4 linked regions of the Drosophila melanogaster genome follow. The protein of the gene in region 1 interacts with the protein of each later gene in a pairwise test. Each region holds a gene or a part of one and is shown in the gene's direction. Other genes may lie near its edges. The genes, in order: CG17162, CG9106, Golgin84 and SNF4Agamma.

Evidence for each region.
Region 2: the proteins of CG17162 (region 1) and CG9106 interact in a two-hybrid assay, tested with the Drosophila melanogaster proteins (one large-scale study listed by BioGRID).
Region 3: the proteins of CG17162 (region 1) and Golgin84 interact in a two-hybrid assay, tested with the Drosophila melanogaster proteins (one large-scale study listed by BioGRID).
Region 4: the proteins of CG17162 (region 1) and SNF4Agamma interact in a two-hybrid assay, tested with the Drosophila melanogaster proteins (one large-scale study listed by BioGRID).

Annotation. Positions count from the first base shown.
Region 1 is NC_004354.4:23,093,506-23,099,107, reverse strand, and holds the start of CG17162 (uncharacterized protein), read left to right. Parts: upstream 1-2,373; 5' UTR 2,374-2,675; intron 2,676-5,498; exon of another isoform or gene 5,499-5,602. Other genes in the region: su(f) (suppressor of forked), read right to left, coding at 95-494, 553-828, 993-1,315, 1,377-1,412.
Region 2 is NC_004354.4:15,270,164-15,274,576, reverse strand, and holds CG9106 (uncharacterized protein), read left to right. Parts: upstream 1-2,171; 5' UTR 2,172-2,590; intron 2,591-2,662; 5' UTR 2,663-2,746; coding exon 2,747-3,178; 3' UTR 3,179-3,541; downstream 3,542-4,413.
Region 3 is NT_033777.3:24,355,178-24,359,908, reverse strand, and holds Golgin84 (Golgin-84), read left to right. Parts: upstream 1-1,970; 5' UTR 1,971-2,032; coding exon 2,033-3,368; intron 3,369-3,423; coding exon 3,424-3,638; 3' UTR 3,639-3,839; downstream 3,840-4,731. Other genes in the region: CG18528 (uncharacterized protein), read left to right, coding at 1-31, 350-655, 712-1,698; CG6454 (uncharacterized protein), read right to left, coding at 4,131-4,193, 4,256-4,528, 4,585-4,731. UniProt on the Drosophila melanogaster protein: May be involved in maintaining Golgi structure and in intra-Golgi transport.
Region 4 is NT_033777.3:21,154,600-21,159,787, forward strand, and holds the start of SNF4Agamma (SNF4/AMP-activated protein kinase gamma subunit), read left to right. Parts: upstream 1-1,762; 5' UTR 1,763-1,812; intron 1,813-2,838; exon of another isoform or gene 2,839-2,897; 5' UTR 2,898-3,058; intron 3,059-4,638; exon of another isoform or gene 4,639-4,790; coding exon of another isoform or gene 4,791-5,188. Other genes in the region: cDIP (common Dpr-interacting protein), read right to left, coding at 4,791-5,188.

The DNA of each region.
Region 1 (5,602 bases):
GCCATCTGTGTTGTGCCACTGCGTGCTCCTTTACCCGAGGGGCGACACTTCTTAGCAAACAAGAGACTATATTTGATTCGTTTTTGGTTTTGACCTTTGCCCACCACCAAGCAAAGGCCATAACCCACTCTATTTGATTCACTACAGGAACGCAGAGAATAGGTGAAATGTTTTCAACACTAGTACGCACGCCTTTTTCGGTGAGCACGCGAGCACTGGTGTCCAGGAATTGGGAGGCCTGGTGCCACACTGCCGGGTGGTGGGTGAGCACCAGCAAACATTGCTCCGTGGCGAACATGACACGACGGGTTACTAGGGCCGTATCTTCAGTGCGCAAGGGATTAGACTTCTCATACGTGATAAAGCGCTTCCACAGCTCCACTTGCTTCACCTCCTCTTTTGTGAGTGTGGGTGGGACGGCTGGCAGATTGCGATTGAGACCCTTTGTGTGGTATTCCAACTCTTTGGCAACACGACGAGCGTTCATGTAATCCCTGGTTTTAAGTTGGAATTTAGAAAGAACATTTAGCAAACTCTGCGTATAACACTCACTTAGATCGCTCCAGACTCATCTTCTCTGATATAATCGGGTTTATGTTTTGCTCGAATGCGATATAGTCCTTCCACAACTGCTCGATGCCCACGATAGGTGTGACTACAGCCTTTTGATAGACGCGGCGCACTGCTGTGATCTTTTGGTTCTCTGCATAGTTGCCCACTGCTTCAACGCCCCGCAGAAAGTATATGTAATCCTGCCAGATGCTGAACGAGTGTAGATCCATGCCGATTTTCTCCAGTGCAAAATCATAAGCCTGGGCCATTTTTTCTCTGAGAAAAGAGATAAGTCCAATAAAATAAGCGTGTCAGAATAACACAAATGTTGTGCATCAAAAAAAACAATATGCTCGCTGCATTGCAAGTTTTGACTAAAATTATAATAGTTTCTAAGATGTCAAATTATGTGAATTATTTAAATAAGGTATAACAGTTACTTGTGAGTACTTAGACCCGACTTGGTTTCCTTCACGTAGGTAAGATAGAGCTTCCAGAGGTCGATGTTCAAAATCTTGACTAGGCAGCGTTGAAAAAGTTTCTCCACGCGTTCATAGTACCGGCTGCGCATCTCCATCTCAATGTATAGCTTCCAGTACCGAGCGGTTGTCGGAAACACATTAACTAGCGACTCGTAAAGACTGCGTACTTCGTGGATTGGCCGCGTTTGGGCCTCTCGGATCATGACACTCCAGGACTCGATGTCATAGGGCCGCAGCTCCACCACTTGCTGAGCTCGCACCAGGCGCTCCATGCCCCATTCCTTGTCATCGATAAGTAAAAATATGTTGTTACCATCCAAATAAAGCCAATGTTTTACTTACTATGTCGACTTTGATAAGGTCTCTGGCCGAAGACATTGCTAATAGTCTTTGCAAATTGTCGTTGAGTCCTGCTTGCGCTGCTCCTTGGCCCGGGAAAGTTCCTTTCTTCCGTTGAACTTTCGCTACGCAATTACCTAAAGCAACGCTTGGATGCCGCTTTTCCGAATTCTTTTAGAAGTTGCAATGCGGCTGCTTAGATATCGACGACTGATTGGATGTAACTGCGATAGTGTCATCGCCAATCACATCGCGGGCCTTACCATTAAAATCCCAAGATTTGGGATGTGTAGTACAGCGGTCACTGATTATAAACTATAAATAAAAAAGATATATGGTTTTAACATACTTTAAAGGTACTAAATCTGTAAATAATGAATTCAAGCAGAAGCAATATTTTTTATAGCTTGTTTCCACTGAAACATTTTTCTGTACGTTGCTAAGGTGAAGGTTGTTAACAGATACTTTGAACCGTTTAAGTTCTATGTAATAGTAAGTAAAAGAGGTAATATTTAATAAAAAGGCATTTTTAGGAAGCCTGGAATTGTATGCCTAGTAGCGTAACTAGGTACGAATTTTTCCTGATTACCCTATAACATTATACATTAAAACAATATAACATAATATGAGGTAAAGGTATTCTTGGTATTGTGGTATTCGAACAAACATAACTATGAAAACACACGAAAACATTATAATTTAAGTCAATGGATTGTTCTTAAATGTTTTAGACACGAGTCCAAGTGATAACAAAATTCAACAAGGTTAACGGAACTTATTTTTTGCTATAAGAAATAGAAAGTGAAACGCACCTTTCTTCAGCAACTGTAGTGTTAAATTGTTTTAAGAATTTACTTACAGAGAAATGTTTTATTGAAATTTAATTTTTTCTTTTGTTGTTTCTTTTTCATGTTGAGGGTTCAACATTCCCACAATTTAACAGTTTAAGGAATACCCAGAATCTAACCCTAGAAATAGATTGGTATATTTATCGATATTAATTCAGTACCAGTATGCGGTCACATTGGGTAAGTGTCAAAAAAGTTTTAAAACAAACGCTAAACAATCAGGAGTGGCAATCAAACGAAACCAAGCGCATTTATTAGCCGAGAGATAATTCGAGTTAAATTCGCAACTAGTATTAGTATCATTCATTGAAACCGATTTATTAAACTGCCAAGGTAGACAAGACACACACACATGTGCGTGTTTCCGGAGAGCATCACAATCATTGCAGACCTAGAGGCCAACAGCTGTTGTTGATGTCCTAGCGGTATATTTACGGTTTATAGACTTCGACAAGTTAGTGAAATTATTACCGTTCCTGGGTCACTCTCCCTTACCTAATACCTCTGTGGGTGTGTGTGCTAAGGCGCAATAAGTGTGTCACACTGACGCGGTTTTGTGTTTCAAAGTAGAACAAACACTGTGTGTGTGTATCCCTCACATATGCATTAGCTTTGTCTCTGTTATATTGGCCAATGTTTATTCCTGCATACCAGAAATAAATAAACAAAGAAATCATTCTCTAAGCTGTGTTGCAAGCACAAAAAAAATTTTGTCTGCAACGATAAGTTTTTCCCTTGATACAAATATTTATATATCTTTTGAGCCATAGCGTTTTTTCATTCTGCAAAATTAGTTTTATTCAATGTGGTTTGTATTATGTGTTTTTGACTATCAAAACTATCAAAAAATCGTGTATTAAGGGGACTTTATACCGTAAAAATGTATGTTGTCTTACTAAAATATTTTTGTTATAAAAACTTAACTTTCAAAAGGGATTTAAAGCGAATGCAACAAAACTCATTCATGAAATATACCTTATTTTGTAGCTTATTTAATTCTTGTTTAGATAGTTGTAATTAAAAAGTGCATTCTTTGCGATTTTCGGAGAAATTATAGTTTTTAGGTCCTTACCCTACTTGTTCAAATGCAGAGTAATTTTAGCTAAAAGGGAGTTAAAAATGCCTGTTGGTGAATTGATTCATTAATTTGTTATTATGTTTGTGTTTACTTTTTTGTAAAATAATTCAATATGCAACCACTACCACGAAATCAGTTGTTCTTTGCTTGGACTAGAAAAAGCATACGAAATTAGGGAAATACCTATACAAAATTAGTTAATTAAATATAAGAGGCGGTGCCACGGCCACAATTTTTGGTATCATAAAAGATAATGGCAAAAAAATTTAAATATCTTTATCCGTTCTAGAGTTACAAACTACAACAAATATAAGGGGCGGTTTCAGAACGGATATATTGTAACCCAATCTGAATATCTTTCAACGTCCTGGAGTTATTCATTTTGGGCAGAAAAAGTGGTAAAATTTCACATAGTGGTACGTGGGCAAGTTTTGAAATATTCGCACACCCTAACGACGGCAAACCGCCCAAAAGGTTCACACCCACACTTTTGTGAAATGTTATAATTATTTTTCATTGCATTTTTTGATTTTTTGCTACTTTGTATCGCTTTGCCAAAATACCTCCACCATCTCATTCGAACGCCAACCAAATTTTTTAAATATGTTTAGACTTTTTTATTTGGTTATTATACCCGTTACTCGTAGAGTAACGTAGATTCGTTTAAAGGAATGTAACACGCAGAAGGAAGCGTTTCCGACTGTATAACGGATCAATAGCCGAGTCGATATAGCCATGTCCGTCTGTCCGTATGAACGTCGAGATCTCAGGAACTATAAAAGCTGGAAGGCGGAGATTTAGCATGCAGATTCTAGAGACAAAGACGCAGCGCAAGTTTGTTGATCCATGTTGCAACGCCCACAAGCCCACGAAAAAATGCCACAAGCACTCTTTTGAAAAATATATTGATATTTTTTCACATCTTTATTAGTCTTGTAAATTCCGATCGATGTGCAAAAAAAAACTGTTTGCCACACCCACTGTGACGCCCTTAAGCCGACAAACCGGTCACGCCCCACTTTTGAAAATTGTTGAAATTTTTTCTCATTTTATTCCCCAACATCTTTTGGTATCGCAGAAAAATATCTGGGTTAACGGGTATCTGATATTCAGGCAACTCGACTATAGCATTCTCTCTTGTTATTCTAAACAATTTTATGGATATGACAATCAAGTTTCAAAGTTTCTCCCTCGTTCTCCCCTTAGTTGAGTGGCGCTAGTGGAGAAAATCTATAGCGGTTCCTTTTGTTATTTTAACTTTTTTCCTAAACTAATTTTCCATAACAGAGATAAATTAGTTGGAAATTGTCAATATATTTCTAAATTAATTTGCTTTCTTTAAATATCAATTTATTTAATAGATAGAAAATTCATTTCGTCCTGTCTGTGTTACCAAAATATTTAGAACACTTAACAAAAATTCATATAACGTTCTGTTATATGAATTGCTGTTTGATTAACGAATGATTAAAACGTTTAAAACGTTACGTTTCGAAAATCAGAAAAAAGGAAAGAAATGCATACATTATCTTAACTTCAAAGCTTTTAAAGTTTTCGAGGTGACAGCCCCCTTACGGACAGACAGACTTTACCATATCAATTCGGCTAGTGATCCTAATCAGGAATATTGTACATATATATGTATATGTATACCGCATTAAAAGAGCATACAAAAAATTTCTGAATTCTACGACATCGAAATACAAAATACAAAGATAAAAAATACTTGTAGAGTAAAAGGGTATAGTTGATTCGTTGGAAAGTATGTAACAGGTAGAATAAAGCGTTTATAGCTTCAGTTTCAGGAACTATAAAAGCTAGAATGTTGAGATTAACCATTACCACTCTAACGCCCACAAACCGCCCAAAACTAAAAAAATTTGTTTCATGGTTTTATAAGTCTTGTACATATCTACCAATTCGCAAAAAAAAATTTTGGCACGCACACTCTACCGCCCACAAACCACCCAAAACTGTCACGCCTACATTGGAATAATTTTTAAATTAGTTTCCATTTTATTATTTTGGTTTCCAATTTCTGCCGATATTCTAAAAGACATATTGAAATATGTCGTTCCACCTGAGTAACGATAGCTGGGGAACTCGACTATCGCATTCTCTATTGTTTATAACTCATTTTATGGAAATTATAATGATAATCGTCATCAGAAATTTGTTCTGATTTTTTCCTGTTACCGTCGGTTAACTCAACTTGTTTTTGTTTGTTAGTTTATCGGGCCAAAAACCGATTCGTTCAAGCTACTTTTCAGCCATCTTGTATAACCGGTTATGATACGAATTTT
Region 2 (4,413 bases), 7.8 Mb from region 1:
ATTCTTGTTTTGCATTGCCTTAACGTTATTATTATTTGAAAATAGATTAGAAATACTCAAATCTATGTACATATTATCACAAAAATAAATTTCAAAAATGACTTTATATAAGAATATTTGTCATTAGAGTATTCATCTTGCGGCGTGTGAAAAATTAATAAGGTAATGATTGTTGAGTGCTTGTGTCCGCACTTCGTGCCTCAAGATATGAACAAAGCAAAGACACTAGAATAATTCTATTGTCTTTGATATTACTTTTGCAATTTCATTTAATTGCATATTTAATTATTTAGTATATTTATTAAATCATTTGACTTAATATGATGTAACATTAACATTAAAAGTGTTTCAAAAAAAATATTTAGCTTTTAAAAAATTGTCAGATGAGAGAAAAATTAGAATTAAACATAAATATAAATGTGTAAACGGTAGCTAATTCGAGCGGCAATTTTAACAAACAAATTTAAAAAGCTTTAAAATTATAATAGTCAGGGCGCGAATTTTAAAAAATTTTTTTATTTTATCATATTGCTAGGAAATTGGCAAAAACTACCCTAATATGTACCATGTAAATTCGTTTCTTCGATCAGAATTGATTTCGGCCCGAAAATCGTCTTCTAGCACAACACGCACACTTATACGCGTTCTCGTCTCTTGTTTTTACTCACACAAGCAAGCAAATTATATTTTTAGGTTTCTTACGCTCTCAGCGGGAGTGAGCGGAAAGAGAGTAATTTTGGCCGTCACCAAAAAAGTGGCTGCATAGTGCCAAACCAATGTATGGCCGTTACGCATCTTGTTATTCTAGTGTCTTTGATATAACTCACTGCCGGTCCAATGAGTCGTCGTCTCATTGTGAACCGGATCCGGATGTGGATACAGCTATGGCCACGTTGACAAAATTGGGCTGCAACGCATCTCAAAACGAATGGTAAGCTTACCCACCCATTGTTGGCCAAAAACAGCACGTAATGGTGTATTAATTAAACTTCGACCCTTCGCCCTTATCGCTTTTTGGCAATGCCATGACACAAGTGTGGAAAATTGCTGTGTTTCACATACATAAGTTCAATGAGTAAGCAAAATGCCTCTAAATACGAAAAGCATATATTGAATGACCAAAAAGCAGCTGAAAAGATTACCCATCGAATTCTGAAGACTTATTTTATTACATGGTTGCTGTGTAAAAGTTTTCGCTTTGTGTGGCTATGCAGTGGTAAAAATTTACTTCTTTTCGGATGTCAGCATACTATCTTGGTTTCATTTCGATTCTGAAGAGCTGGAGAGCAGAAGTCATTGCTCCAGGACGAGGTTAGCTATCAATCAGGGTTTAAGAATTAAAGTCGTCGTGGGGAAACCGGGGTAAAACTCGCTGCTCGACAATCATTTACCGAACAGCTTTTGGCTTTCACTTTTCACACATACCGCAATTAATTTCCGTTTGATTGTTTGTCTCTGTCCGGACTCCACATTCAAAGCCCCACCCGGAATCCTATTTGCTTTCCACACGGCGAATGCGATTTAATTGCTTTGGGACCCCTGCTCCCGCGACTTAAACTCAGCTCTGGTGCTTTTACTTTGCTTTTCCTCTCGCCCACACCCGCACTTTTCCCACACTTTTCCCACACTTTTCCCATACTTTTCCTGCACTTTTCCCGCATTGCACCTGCAATCGTAAATAAAGAGCTAAGCGTGAACATGAAGGTGAGGAATTGCAGCTGCAAATCGGAAGAGGAGGAGGCTGCCGTGTCAACAACTTTGCCGTGAAAGTTTTATTTGTTCAGTTCATTTGGTGCTGCTGGCAGAAGCAAAACATTATATGGCACATTCATAAACACCCGTGTTGCCGGGCGATGTCAAAAAATTGTGAATGGTATGGGGATTTTCTGAGGAAAACACTAAAAAAAAAAATCCTTGAAAACTTTGTTTGCCTTTTTGCACTTAAATAGTACACTTACTGCACTTACTTTAAAGTCTAACTTAGAATGTGCAGTGTCATGAATTAATGAAATAGCCATAAGAATTATTAATTTACCAAAATCTTGAATATTCGCGATATTTGTGTCTCTCATTTCATCGTCGAAACAAAATGTACCAGCTGGCTTTGAAAAGAATGCCAGATTAATGTCATGGCTCATTTCATAAGTTAAAATCATCTAGGTAGTCAACACACACAATCGACACAAAATACACACACACCGTTTAAACAAAAGTGAAAAAAAATAGAGGAAAATCGAAAAAAAAAAGAATCAAACAGCGAAACAAAAATCATAACTTGGTATTGTATCTAGCTAATTAGAGAGTTGCACTAGAATCGCGTGCGACTTGAACGTCGAGAAGTGTATAACAGATCCCTAAGCAGCACATCACTGCACCAGAGTCTCATTGGATCGCACCGAGCAAAGTACAAAATTCGTAGGTTCAAAGTTCAAAGTTTACGGTTTCCGAAGGACTAACCGAGAATCCAACCACGGACCATCCCGTCCAGAAGGCCAAAGGTAGCAACCAGCAACGAAGCTTCAGTATTGAGCCACTTTGATAACTGCTTCCAATCCGATTTCTTTTCCACTTTTGATAGTTTTATATTCAGGTGAGTTAATTATCACTTATAATATAAGTATTGTTGTTAAATATATATAAGAAATACTTTTCGGCTTACTAGATCCAAATAATTATAAATACACTCAGTTAATTGGCTGCATTCGATATTTGCCTCATAGATATCCCGAACCGCTGCCCTTCCAGGATGGTCATCAATCTGAATCCGTCCACCTCTTCGAACGCCAATGCCAGCGGTAGCAGCGTGGGTGGCGGCAGCGGTGGCGGCAGCGACGGTGGCAACGGCGATGGAATGAGCAGCGCTGGGAGCCAGAGCGGCAACATCATTGGCGGAAACGGAAGCGGAAGCGGAAACGGTAACGGTAACGGTGATGGTAACGGTAGTGGCAACACCGCCGGAAACGTCAGTAGCGGCACCCCCAGCAACCTGATGGGCATCATCAGCCATGAGATGTTCGATGGTATCGTCTATCTGCATGTGGTATGTGCCGGTGAGTCAAGCTCCAAGTGGGTCACTCTGGAGGAGGCGATGGCCTACTGTCCCAGCGGCGTTGTTGCCTACACCAAACTGCAGCTGGCCGAGATTTATGGCATACCGATGGACGTTCTGTTCGACTGATGGTGATGCATAAACCAGATTCTTCGTTGAAGCGATTGCAGTGTACCGCACATGGACGATGGTTTTGATGGATTCTTGATTAGCTCCGTTTGGCTTGTACGGTTTATAAGCTGGACCATGGCAACTGTCATTTGAACTTTGGCACTGTTGGCAAAATCTAGGAATTCAGTATTCGCCAAATACGTGGCATTGGCAATATAACGTCGATTGTTTTTTCTTGCTACATTCCCTGCTCTAAATTTTAAGTTCCTGGCGTTAAGTGATTTTTCCGAAGGCAGCAATTACTAGAAATAGTATACGAATCTGCAAGGTTATTCCGTAATTAATTGCAAAAAATAAAAAAAAATAATAATAAAATAAAGGAAATTTATAAAGAAATCTCTATGGACAGTATGGGTGCCATTTACCTTGGTCACTGGCCGCTTCACGTGCCCCTGTGGCATTTGTCAGTCGACTCGGAATGCGGGGGTGGAAGATGAATGGACTGAGCGGAAGTTTAAGGAGCCTTTGCCACGCAGACACCACACGGCGTATGCGTAATGCGGCCAGCCCACAGAATTTGGGCATTTCAATTGCAAATTAGCCAAAAGCCAACGTCAACGGTCACCACGCCCACACCGACAGCCGCCCCCTTTTGAAGTGCGTCTCGACTTTTCTTTACCATTATTTTTCCCTCTTCTGCGAGTGTGTGTGTGTGCGTGGCAATTTGAATGATTTATGTTGATTGCGTATAATTGCATGTTGTGTCCTTGTCCGCCCCTTTGTGCCCAGGTGCGTTTGCCGGCCACGTGACAAATTCAAATCCCCGTCACCGCTTTACACTCCCTTTTCGCTCGCTTGGTCGGTCGGTCGGTTGGTTGGTTGGTTGGTTGGTTGGTCTTGTCTCGGCTTTTCCATTTCCCATTTCCGCCCCACCACTTTGCCGCTATTCCTAACCTCAGACATTCTGCGGCGCATTGTTGTTGCCGCTTTTATGACGCTCCATCTGTCAGCGGCTTGTTGGTTGTTCAGTTGGCTGGCTGGCTGGCTGGTGACACCGTGCCAGGACACGGCAAGGAGCTGGGGCATGGATAAACAGGACCCATATCCAGGCTGGCTGCTTATCTAATTACGCGCCCAAAAGCACGCAACACAAAAATGCCAAGCAAGTCGAGCGAGGCAACGACGACGACCAACTTGTCTTTTGCGGCACGACGCTTCATTTTTCTAATGCCATTCGCTGGCGGCGGGAATCG
Region 3 (4,731 bases), on another chromosome or scaffold:
AATTGTTGCAAACAAAGAATACGAGCCAAAGGCAAGTCAATCGATATAAACGTTTATTATTCCATATATGAGGGGTCGTGACCTGTGCAGTGTATAGTTTTGTTTTCTAGTATCCAAAATATATGTATGCAAATGAAAAGACCTGTTGCTTATTTATATACATTTTGGGAGATGTATCCTGTATAAAAATAAACAAATTTCTCCTAACTTACATATAATTGACTAAATAAATTGAATAATTTCGTGAACTGCTTAATTTGTTATAATTGGCAAGCTGCCAGGTTTTAAGACGAGAGACCTCTATGATAGTGAAACTTATAGTTCCCTTTATAAATACTTTTCCATATAGGCTCGTCAGGCGTATCTGAAATCCTTCTACCATCCCGCCAGCAAAGAGATGATTGACCGTGGGCTCTTACTTTGGTTTCCGGGACCGGCTTCTTTCACTGGCGAGGATTCCTGCGAGTTTCAGGTACACGGGTCCCTGGCAGTCATTGCGGCCATGTTGGATGCTCTGGGAAAAGTGGATGGATTGCGGCCGGCGGAGCCGGGAGAGTTCACAAAGAGAGCGTTCTTTGGTGGCAAACTGGATTTGACAGAGGTGGAGGGATTGGCCGATCTTATCCATGCTGAAACGGAGGCGCAAAGAAAGCAGGTAGACAGTGGACTTAGGGTCTCATAAATTTTGTTTCAAGTCTCTTCTTTCTCCAGGCACTGCTACAAAGCACTGGAGCACTGGCTCGACTCTACGACAACTGGCGCCGTCGACTTATTCGCTGTGCTGCCCATTTGGAGGCCTACATAGACTTCGCCGAAGAGGAGCAAATCGAAGGCGGCATCATCCTGCAACTCGGCAAAGAACTAAAGGCGGTAAAGCGTGAGATTCGCGAGCATTTGAGTGACCAGCGGCAGGGAGAGCTCCTCCGCGACGGAGTCCGCACTGTGATCATTGGAGCACCCAATGTTGGCAAGAGTAGTCTGCTCAATCTCCTCTGCCAGCGATCCGTGTCCATAGTGACGGATCAGGCGGGCACCACAAGGGATATTATAGAAACAATGCACAATTTCGGAGGATACCCGGTGGTATTTTCCGACACAGCCGGATTACGCCGATATACTACGGATAGTATAGAGCAGGAGGGAATGCAGAGAGCCAAGAATTGTCTAGTCCAATCTGATTTGATATTGCTCCTAGCAGAAGCCAAGAACATTGCACAGCTGACGCACGACGACGCAGTTGCTCCGTTTGTAGATAGCTATCTGGGCGAGTTGGATATACCTCTGGACATGTGCTCAGGGAAACGTCTGCAATTGGTGGCCAATAAAACCGACACTTTGACGGATGAGGAGCATCAGCAGCTGGACAAGCTGTCCAACGTGTTAGCCATATCATGCCATAAGCCCGATAAGATGCCCGTGTTTCTGGGATCACTGGAGAAGCAGCTGCAAGAACTGTGCGGAGAACCGCGGGCGGAGAATCCACGCATCACAAACACACGCTACCGTCAGCAACTGGAGCGCTGCATTGAGAACATTGATATTTTTCTACGAGATTACAGACCCGACGTTTACCCGGACATGGCCATAGCCGCCTCCAAGCTGCGCAACTCCGTGCGCTGCATCGAACGCATCACCGGACACATCAGCTGCGAAGATATACTCGACGTGGTCTTCAAGGACTTTTGCATTGGAAAGTGAAGAGATAGTTTATAGTTGTGAGTTGCGAAGATTACACTGCCCATGTTGAGTATTGAATAAAATATTCATTTGTACCCTAGAGTTTTGATAAGCATAATAAATTAACATTTCTGCACGGATAAGAAAGATTGGAATTACATTTATTTCTAAAACCAATCCTTACATTTTCATATAAATATTTTTTTGATCAGAAAAAAGGTTTTTCAAAATTACGTTACTTTTAGAGTGACCTTAACTTTGGAGTTGACCATTCCGCAGTCGATAGCGATATGGGCACACAGTGTGATATTGTTTACGTGTTTTACTCGAAGAGATTTGTTTTTCTTAGAAAAATATGTCATCCTGGATCACAGGACTGGCGGACAAGGCCGAAAACATTTTGAACAAGCTGGACCAAAATGCGGCAACGGCCCTGCAGACAGAGAACGCCACAGGTTCAGCGGATCCCATGCGTAGGAGCATGACGAGCAGCACCCAATCACTGTCCACATCCCTGAAGTCCACTCTGTCGCCAGTGCGGCGCTCGGGGGCCAATAGCTCATCAAGTGTAAAAAGCGATGGCGGGGTCTCCGTGGTCACTAAGGACATGCGCCAAAAGATGACCACGTCGGCCAGTTTCTCCAACAGTCCCGACATATCCGCCAACTCAATGGACACAAATGAATTGGCTGCCTTCAAGATCGCCCTGAATGAAATCACGGCCGAAAGAGATGAACTGCGTCTGCGCTTGGAAGATCTTAATAACGAAACCGAAAAGTTTGATCTGCATCAACACACCCAGGTGCTGGAAGCTCTGGTTAAAAGTCTGTCCGAAGAGCGGGACAAGGCGGTTCATGACTACAATGAGGCCCAGGCAGCTAACATGGCGTATGTGCACTCCATCTCCGAACTGGAAACCAATCTGGCCAAGTTGCAGCAGGAATACATAAGCGCCGCTCACAAATTGCAAATGCAAACAAAGGAAACGGAGCAGCAGCGCCAGGAGCTTCAGGAATACCGTATCAAGGCTCAGCGAGCTCTGCAAGCAAAGGATTCCCTCATCGCAGAGTTGAAGGCGAAGCCCACGGAGGAGGGCGCAGATCCAAACCTGGTGTCCAAGGACAGTGAAACGCGTTTTCTGCAAATTGAACACGAGTCACTTAAGCAAGAACTAGAGCATGCCAACGAGGAACTGCAAAAGGCGCGCTTGCAGCTGGACGATTACGTTTCCCAGGAAAGACAACGACAGGTGGAACTAAGCTCTGCCCGCCAACGCGAGGAAACACTAGCAAAGGAGTTGCGACAGGCAAGGGAACACAGTGTGACCTCCGAATCCGATCAGCGAGTGCTCACGCAGGAACTGGCCTCACTGCGGCAGCAACTTAGTAACCAAATGGCTGCTGCCGCCACTCGACTCCAGGAGCGGGAGCAGCAGCTTCAGCAGATGCGTCAGCGATTGAGCGAGGAAGCCAACACGGGAGCCAAGAGCGATTACGAGACTCGGCTAAAGGCTTTAACCCAATCACTGGTCGAACGTCAAAGTCTTCTGGAAAGAGTTACGAGTGAGAGAAATGCCCTGCGACTACAGCACGAAAAGGCACAGACGCAGCTACAGCAAAACATGCACTTGGTGGAAATGGAGAGCCAAAGGGGCAGCTCCCGCCATACTATGCTCAACAGCACAGATGATGGTAAGTCTAACATTCTGCGAGTACCAGAAATTACATAAATATGAGTTCTACCTAGTCAAAGCACAATTCCCGCTTCTCATGCATCCAAGTCCATTCGATAATCGTGTGGCACGACGCTTCAAGCGAGCCCTTCGCCAGGCGGACTCCATGGGTATTCGGGTGGGAACGTTTCTGCGTCGCTATCCCATGATGCGGGTCTCTGTGATCGTCTACGTGGCCCTACTACATCTGTGGGTCATGTTTGTGCTGCTCTCCACTACACCAAACTAATCGAATCAAATACATTTAGTTGAGCAATTGTTGTATTTCCATAATATTGTATGTATTGTATTTTACGCGCCAAAATTGGATATCTAGTGGTACGAGTATATGTGTCATGTTTGTGGTTGCAACAATTGTATATATCGATATTATACTTGTGTCTCGCACTCGTTCTAAATTCAATATTCAATAAACATCAACTATGTACAGAAATTGCAATTGATTTAACGCTAAAAACATCCAGCAAACAAGTAACAAGACCGAAAAAATTAGCACTACTAAGTTAGGATTAGAACGATTCCTCACAGTTCAAATATTGCATAAAGAATCCATCTACAGATGCTGTAAAATTGTTAAGTAAACGTGAATTAGTTTAACTTCAGTTTAACTCCAGTTGCTGGGCAGAGCTGATAGTTCTAGCTAAGCGGAAGAAAATAGAGAGTATACGCTTTTGGGACGATTCGCGTAAAACATGCGCTATATGCCCCGCAAGTTTTTATATCAGTCATCGGCATGGTAGCTCACATAGACAGCATCGCCTCCGATGCTAATCAGGCACTGGCCCTAAGAATACAAGATTTCAGTATAAAAACTTTAAGGTAAGTAGATCATTGTGTTTGCCTTACCTGATTCTTGTGCTGATTATCGAACAACATAAGTTCGGTGATGTAAAAAGAGACCATGGCATTTCCGCCCAGCGAAGCGATGTGTGCTCTCACCACAGCCAACAGTTCGGTAATGAAGCCATGGACAAATCCGCTGATGCCACCATTTTCCCGGATCGACGTGCTCTCCCGAATAAAGAAAAAGTTTAGGTTGCCCAAATATTTATCTATACGACCACCAGGTATGAAACTTAGTGGCGTCACATCCACTCCATAACGATCTCGCAGCGGAAACTGTCAAGGAAATATAATATTAATATAAAGACATCATTAATATTTAATGTTCTTACATAACGGCTACGTTGAACAGATCCAACGTTCAATGGCTTAACTCCGGTTGAAGGCAATCCCGAAACGAGATTGTTAAGACGTGATGGTGAAGTTTTTCGCATTTTGAATGAGCTCATTCCGAATGGCGGAATAGCGGTGCTGGTTGG
Region 4 (5,188 bases), on another chromosome or scaffold:
GTCTATATAAAATTAGGTATGTATAATGCAAGATATATAAATCAATGACCATTTGTTTTAATTGTTTTGATTGGTTAATTTTAGTGTTCATAAAAGCGTCTTTATATCTAAGTTTTGCTAAGTTTTTTATATTAGAGAATTTACGGAAAATGTTTTATATAGTTCCATCAAAGATCAATATACTCTAATGCCATTGGCTTAATTGAGTTTCAGTTGTTTTAGTCAAAGGAAACAAGAACTTTGCCACCTGTGCGCAATATTGATTTGATTTTTCTCACACTCCATTGCAGTTTTCGGCGAGGCCGACAAGGAAGCATCAGCCACAGGATGCAGAGCAGTGCCGGCGGAGCGTCGGGGGGCAGCAACTACGAGGACGTGGCCGCCGCCCGCCGAGGACGCTTCCGTGTCACCTCCTCCACGCCACAGGGCCCGCCCGAAACGACGCTCGGCCGCTTTCGTCTCATGCCCACGTGTAAGTTGATTTGGTACTTTTTCGCCTTTACAATTTGAGTTTATATAAAGTATACGACATTAATCATTACAGTTATGCTAATAGTAATTGATATCTTTTGGTCAAATTCTCGATAATAAATGCATGGTGCTGAATACTGACCCCTTCTTTCGCCTTTGCAGCTAATTATGGCGCCATTTCGCCAATCCTCCAGCGGGGTCGCTTCGCCGTGATTCCCGAAGAGCCCCAAGCCGGTTCCCCCGCATTGGGAACGCCTCCGCCGGGCGGCCGAACAGCGCGTTCTCCATCGCCCGAATGGGACTTCGACATCGAGCAGGTGAGTGTTCCCAGTTCCTCGGCTGGGATTGATTGATCGAGCTAGCAAAAAACCCTGAGCATCGAGGAAACTTATTTTCGAGAGTACTTCAAATGTATTTATTGCGTCCTTGGACCTATTTGGAATGGTCTAAATGAAGTTCGTGAATGGTGGCAAATTCATCGACTCCGATTTCAAGTATTTTGCTGTTTCTGGTGGCGTCATTGTGTGCTCCTCGGTGGCCTCTGTGCAATGCGCCATTTTTATTGATTTTTGTTGGCTTAGCTGAAGTTTCAAAGAGTTTGGGTGGGCTCCGAAAGTGTGAAAGGCATGCCAAGGCAACTGGTTATGATTATTTATGGGGCATAAAATCTAATTTCCAGCACTATGATGGAAATAGGAATATGCTTATGTACATAAGTTTAATTTTTTTTAGCTAAAGCTAGCTAAAGTTTTTTTTATAGCTTTTATAGCTTTTTTTATAAAAGCTAAAGTTTTTTTTATAGCTAAAATGTTTTCTATTTTGTATGTTCGGCGTGATTTACAGAGCGGAGCAATTTTTGCAATTCAAACTTATATCATTTTGGCGCCTAAAGCGGCGGTGCATGACAAAAACTGATTGCTATTGCGAACACGGTCCGATCTGGCAACGCGTTGTTTTTTAAGTGTGACCGCCGCCGGAAAGTAGCAAAGCGCATTTTATTTAAAATAACTTCTACGCAACTAAAGAATTCTCAATGATTCTTGTTTATTGAATAAATAAGTAGATATATGTGCGTATTTACTTACGCGAGTGGGCACTTAAGAATTTACTATTTAAATGCACATATTTCAGTAAAATTGCAAACAACGAGTTATAGAAAAATACTAAAACAACGTTACAGTTGTGGTCACGCTAATTCCAACTGGATTGTAAAAAGATCTCTAGCGATAACGATAGGCGAAGAGTAAGACCTTTTCTGCTGGATTTCGCAAACGATAACGATGACCACAATCGTGAGTTAGGTTGCGAACTTTGCTTGGTGAAAACGCAGCGGATTACGAGGTTGGGAAAAACTTTTAATTCGCGTTAAAAAACGGGAGTGCAGTGAAAAACAAAGCAAATTAAATGTTCTTAAATTCTTACTAATTTATAATAAATAATTTAATTGAGAGAAAATTCCGGCATGGTGTCAGGATAGCATGTCCGCGCCAGTGGGTGGCTTAGCCATAAAATTCTTCTGTGATAAGCTGCGTGAACAGCTTTTAATTGTGCGCGAATGGATTGCAGAAATTGCAGTGACAACAACGGCAACAACGGACAATCGATCTTTGTTCTTTTGAGTGCGCAAGTGAATTGTGAAACTTCTTTCTTGTTACACAAAACAATAGCCTCTAATCACTTTTCCTGCCCATGCATACACACACATGTGTGCATATGTACATCCCTATAAAAAATCAATAATCGGCGATCAGCTGTTACGCATACAAACAAACACATGGCGTCGCTGGAAAGAGCGACAGAAACGTTTTGGAAATTTTCCACGGACAAATACTTTTATTTGCCCAGATTTGCTATTCTTCTGTTTTTGTTCCTTGTGTCAGTTTCTAGCTGTGTTTCGCGCAGTAATGGTTTAGATTCTTAATAAAAAGTGGCAAACACAACAACGTCCTGCTGCTCCTCTTCTTCTTCTCACCCCTTCCATTGTCCGATCACTGCGTGTTCCAATTGGAAAGTCGAGTCCAAAGTGGAAGCGCGCGCCCGAATAAATTTTCATTTTGATTCTTGATTTTTATGGCTCGCATTCTTTGCTTTTATTAAGATCGATTCGGTTGTTGTTGCTGGTGTTTTCGTGTTTTGTGATTTATTTGGTGTTGAACCAAATGGCTGATAATTAGCCGAGTGAAATGAGTGCTGTAATCTAATCTGAAAAGTCAACACCTCGAAAGTGTTTGGACATCCAGCGAAAAGTCGTCATTATAATTTCGCTCTAATCTCTGAATATACACTCATAACATATATATAACATATAATGCGCCAACACAACCAGCTAATTCGTTACGTCTCTTCTTATTTACAATAATTTCTTAGCGCAGCTAAATGCCTAATCGCGAAATTGTTTACAAAAGTTTTGTTTTCCACCCGTTCAGGTGAACGTGAATGTGTGTTAGTGTGTACGTGAATGTGCGGATGTGTGTATGCGTTCCTGTGTCCGTGAAATTAATTTTTTAACCGAAATTCGACAATTGTGATTCTGCAATCTGCCAGCGCGAATCAGAAACATCCAATTACTGATAAAAACACACAAAAGGTGGGTGACAATTTATTTTCTTTTTATAATTATCGAAAACCTGATTTACTTCACTGCCTTTATTTTCTTTTTGTGTTGATATGAGCGCTTGACGTTTGATTTTCCCCGAAACTTTTCATCTGCCTTTTGTGTCGGTGACTAAGTTGAGTGGGTGGGAAATTCCCCCAGTTCGCGGCGACGCTGGGAAAATACCCAAAATCGCCCAAAATTTTTTCATAATTAGATTTTCAGAATGTGTAAACAATTTTATTAAATTTTTTTATATTTAGAAAACATTTAATAAAAGCGATCAATTATGTAATAGATAGTGTATAACAGTATCAATAACAGGAATAACAGTATTAAATCAGGCAATGTAAAATATAATAACATAAAACAATTCAAAGGGTCTTACCTGAATTCTTCATACGACTTTTTTTTGTCGAAACTCATTTGAAGTTATGGTTATAAAATCGTGAGTGGATTTCTTTAAATGTAAAAGTACCCTATCACGATGCCTACTACATTTTAGACATTGACTAATTAAGTAAGCACACTTCAAGCGAATGCCCAGAAATTAAAAAAAGATAGCTACTGAAGTTGGCAATCAGGAAATGTCGAACTTTGATCTGCGGATACAACTACTAGAAGTCGCAGATAGTCAGTCGCACTATATGGTAAAATTGAATGTTCGCACTTACAGCTGCCACGATTTGTGTGCCGCCAATTACCTTAAAACAAAAATTGCACTGCCAATGTAAACAAAACGTATTTGAAACTCGTGTTCGAATGGATATACATATGTATGTATGGATTTATTCCTAATCACATGCACACGATACTCCGGATCAGCAGATCGACCAGTGATCGTCGAGATCCGTGAAATTGGATTTGTTTCTACTTTCCGTCCTTACGAAGTGGCTGCACTGAAATCGAAACTGTTTGTTTATCTTAGCAATTAGTTAGCCATAAATGTGCGAGTAAGCGAATAGAAGGGATAAAGCATAAATAATTAAAACTGTTCGCATTAGCAGATGGCAATAAAATAACTCGGTTTCTGGTCCATTCGATCGAATTCAATATTGTTGTTTAGTTTCCGAAAATATTGGTTTTGTAATTGACTTGACTTTGTTCAATTCAACTCAAGTTCCCCGAGCCCCACCATCTTGTCTTCGCCCTCCAGTTTTCTTCTCGTTTTTCCATTTTGGTTCGCCAGCCCGAGTTGAACGAACCTCTTTCAATATCTTTCAGAAAAAGAACCCAACTTTGCTTTGCTCGAAAATCAATATTATTGTTTAAATATTATTCTACGTATACGACACAGCGAGCAATAAATATTTACTAGATGTGCTCATGTTGCAAATTGTATTGGTTTTTTGGGGTTGAGTATGCAAAATCAGCAGGGAAATGGAGCAGAAATTGTTTTCGAGATTAGGAATTGAATAGGCGTAGAAAAAAATGATATTCTAGGAAACTAAATCTTAAACAAAGACGAAAAGCCTTCCTGTTTTGTTAGATTATGGTTCCAACTTTGTATATTATCAAGAACTGGTAAAAAAAACATACACGCGAATTCTTTAGTGGAATTCTTCCAACAATTTAAAAAATGATTTATTTATTGGATCGAAAGATTTTATGTTTAAAATTAAGAAGCTTTAGGAAATACTTCAAATATTAATTATAATGTATACATATAATTGTAAAGCTTTGAAAATGTAGTGATCACATAAAAAATGGGCCATATTTAACAACTTCAAACGGACAAGGTCACTTGACTCCAAACAGTTTTGTTGAGCACTTCAAAGGCCTGAATTTGTTCATTCAATTGGGCCAGTTTACTGAATATCAAATCGAACTTGGAATCAAAGTGCTGCACCACTGCTTTCAGTTCATCGCGCAGTTTGTCCACCTCGCTGGGATCAGAACTACTTGTTATGGGCGAGGACTCTACGCTGGCGGAGATTTCCGAAGAGGAGGAGGAGTCCACACCCTCTTTTTCGGGCAAGCGATACATGCAGGCTATTCCGTGAAAGTATTCCCCCGGAAAATCGGGATCGTAGTTATCCACGGTATAGGCAATGCCATTGGCACGAATGAGCACATCCATTATGTTTCTCAGGCTGAAGCAGTTCCAGTTATTTCCATGAATAT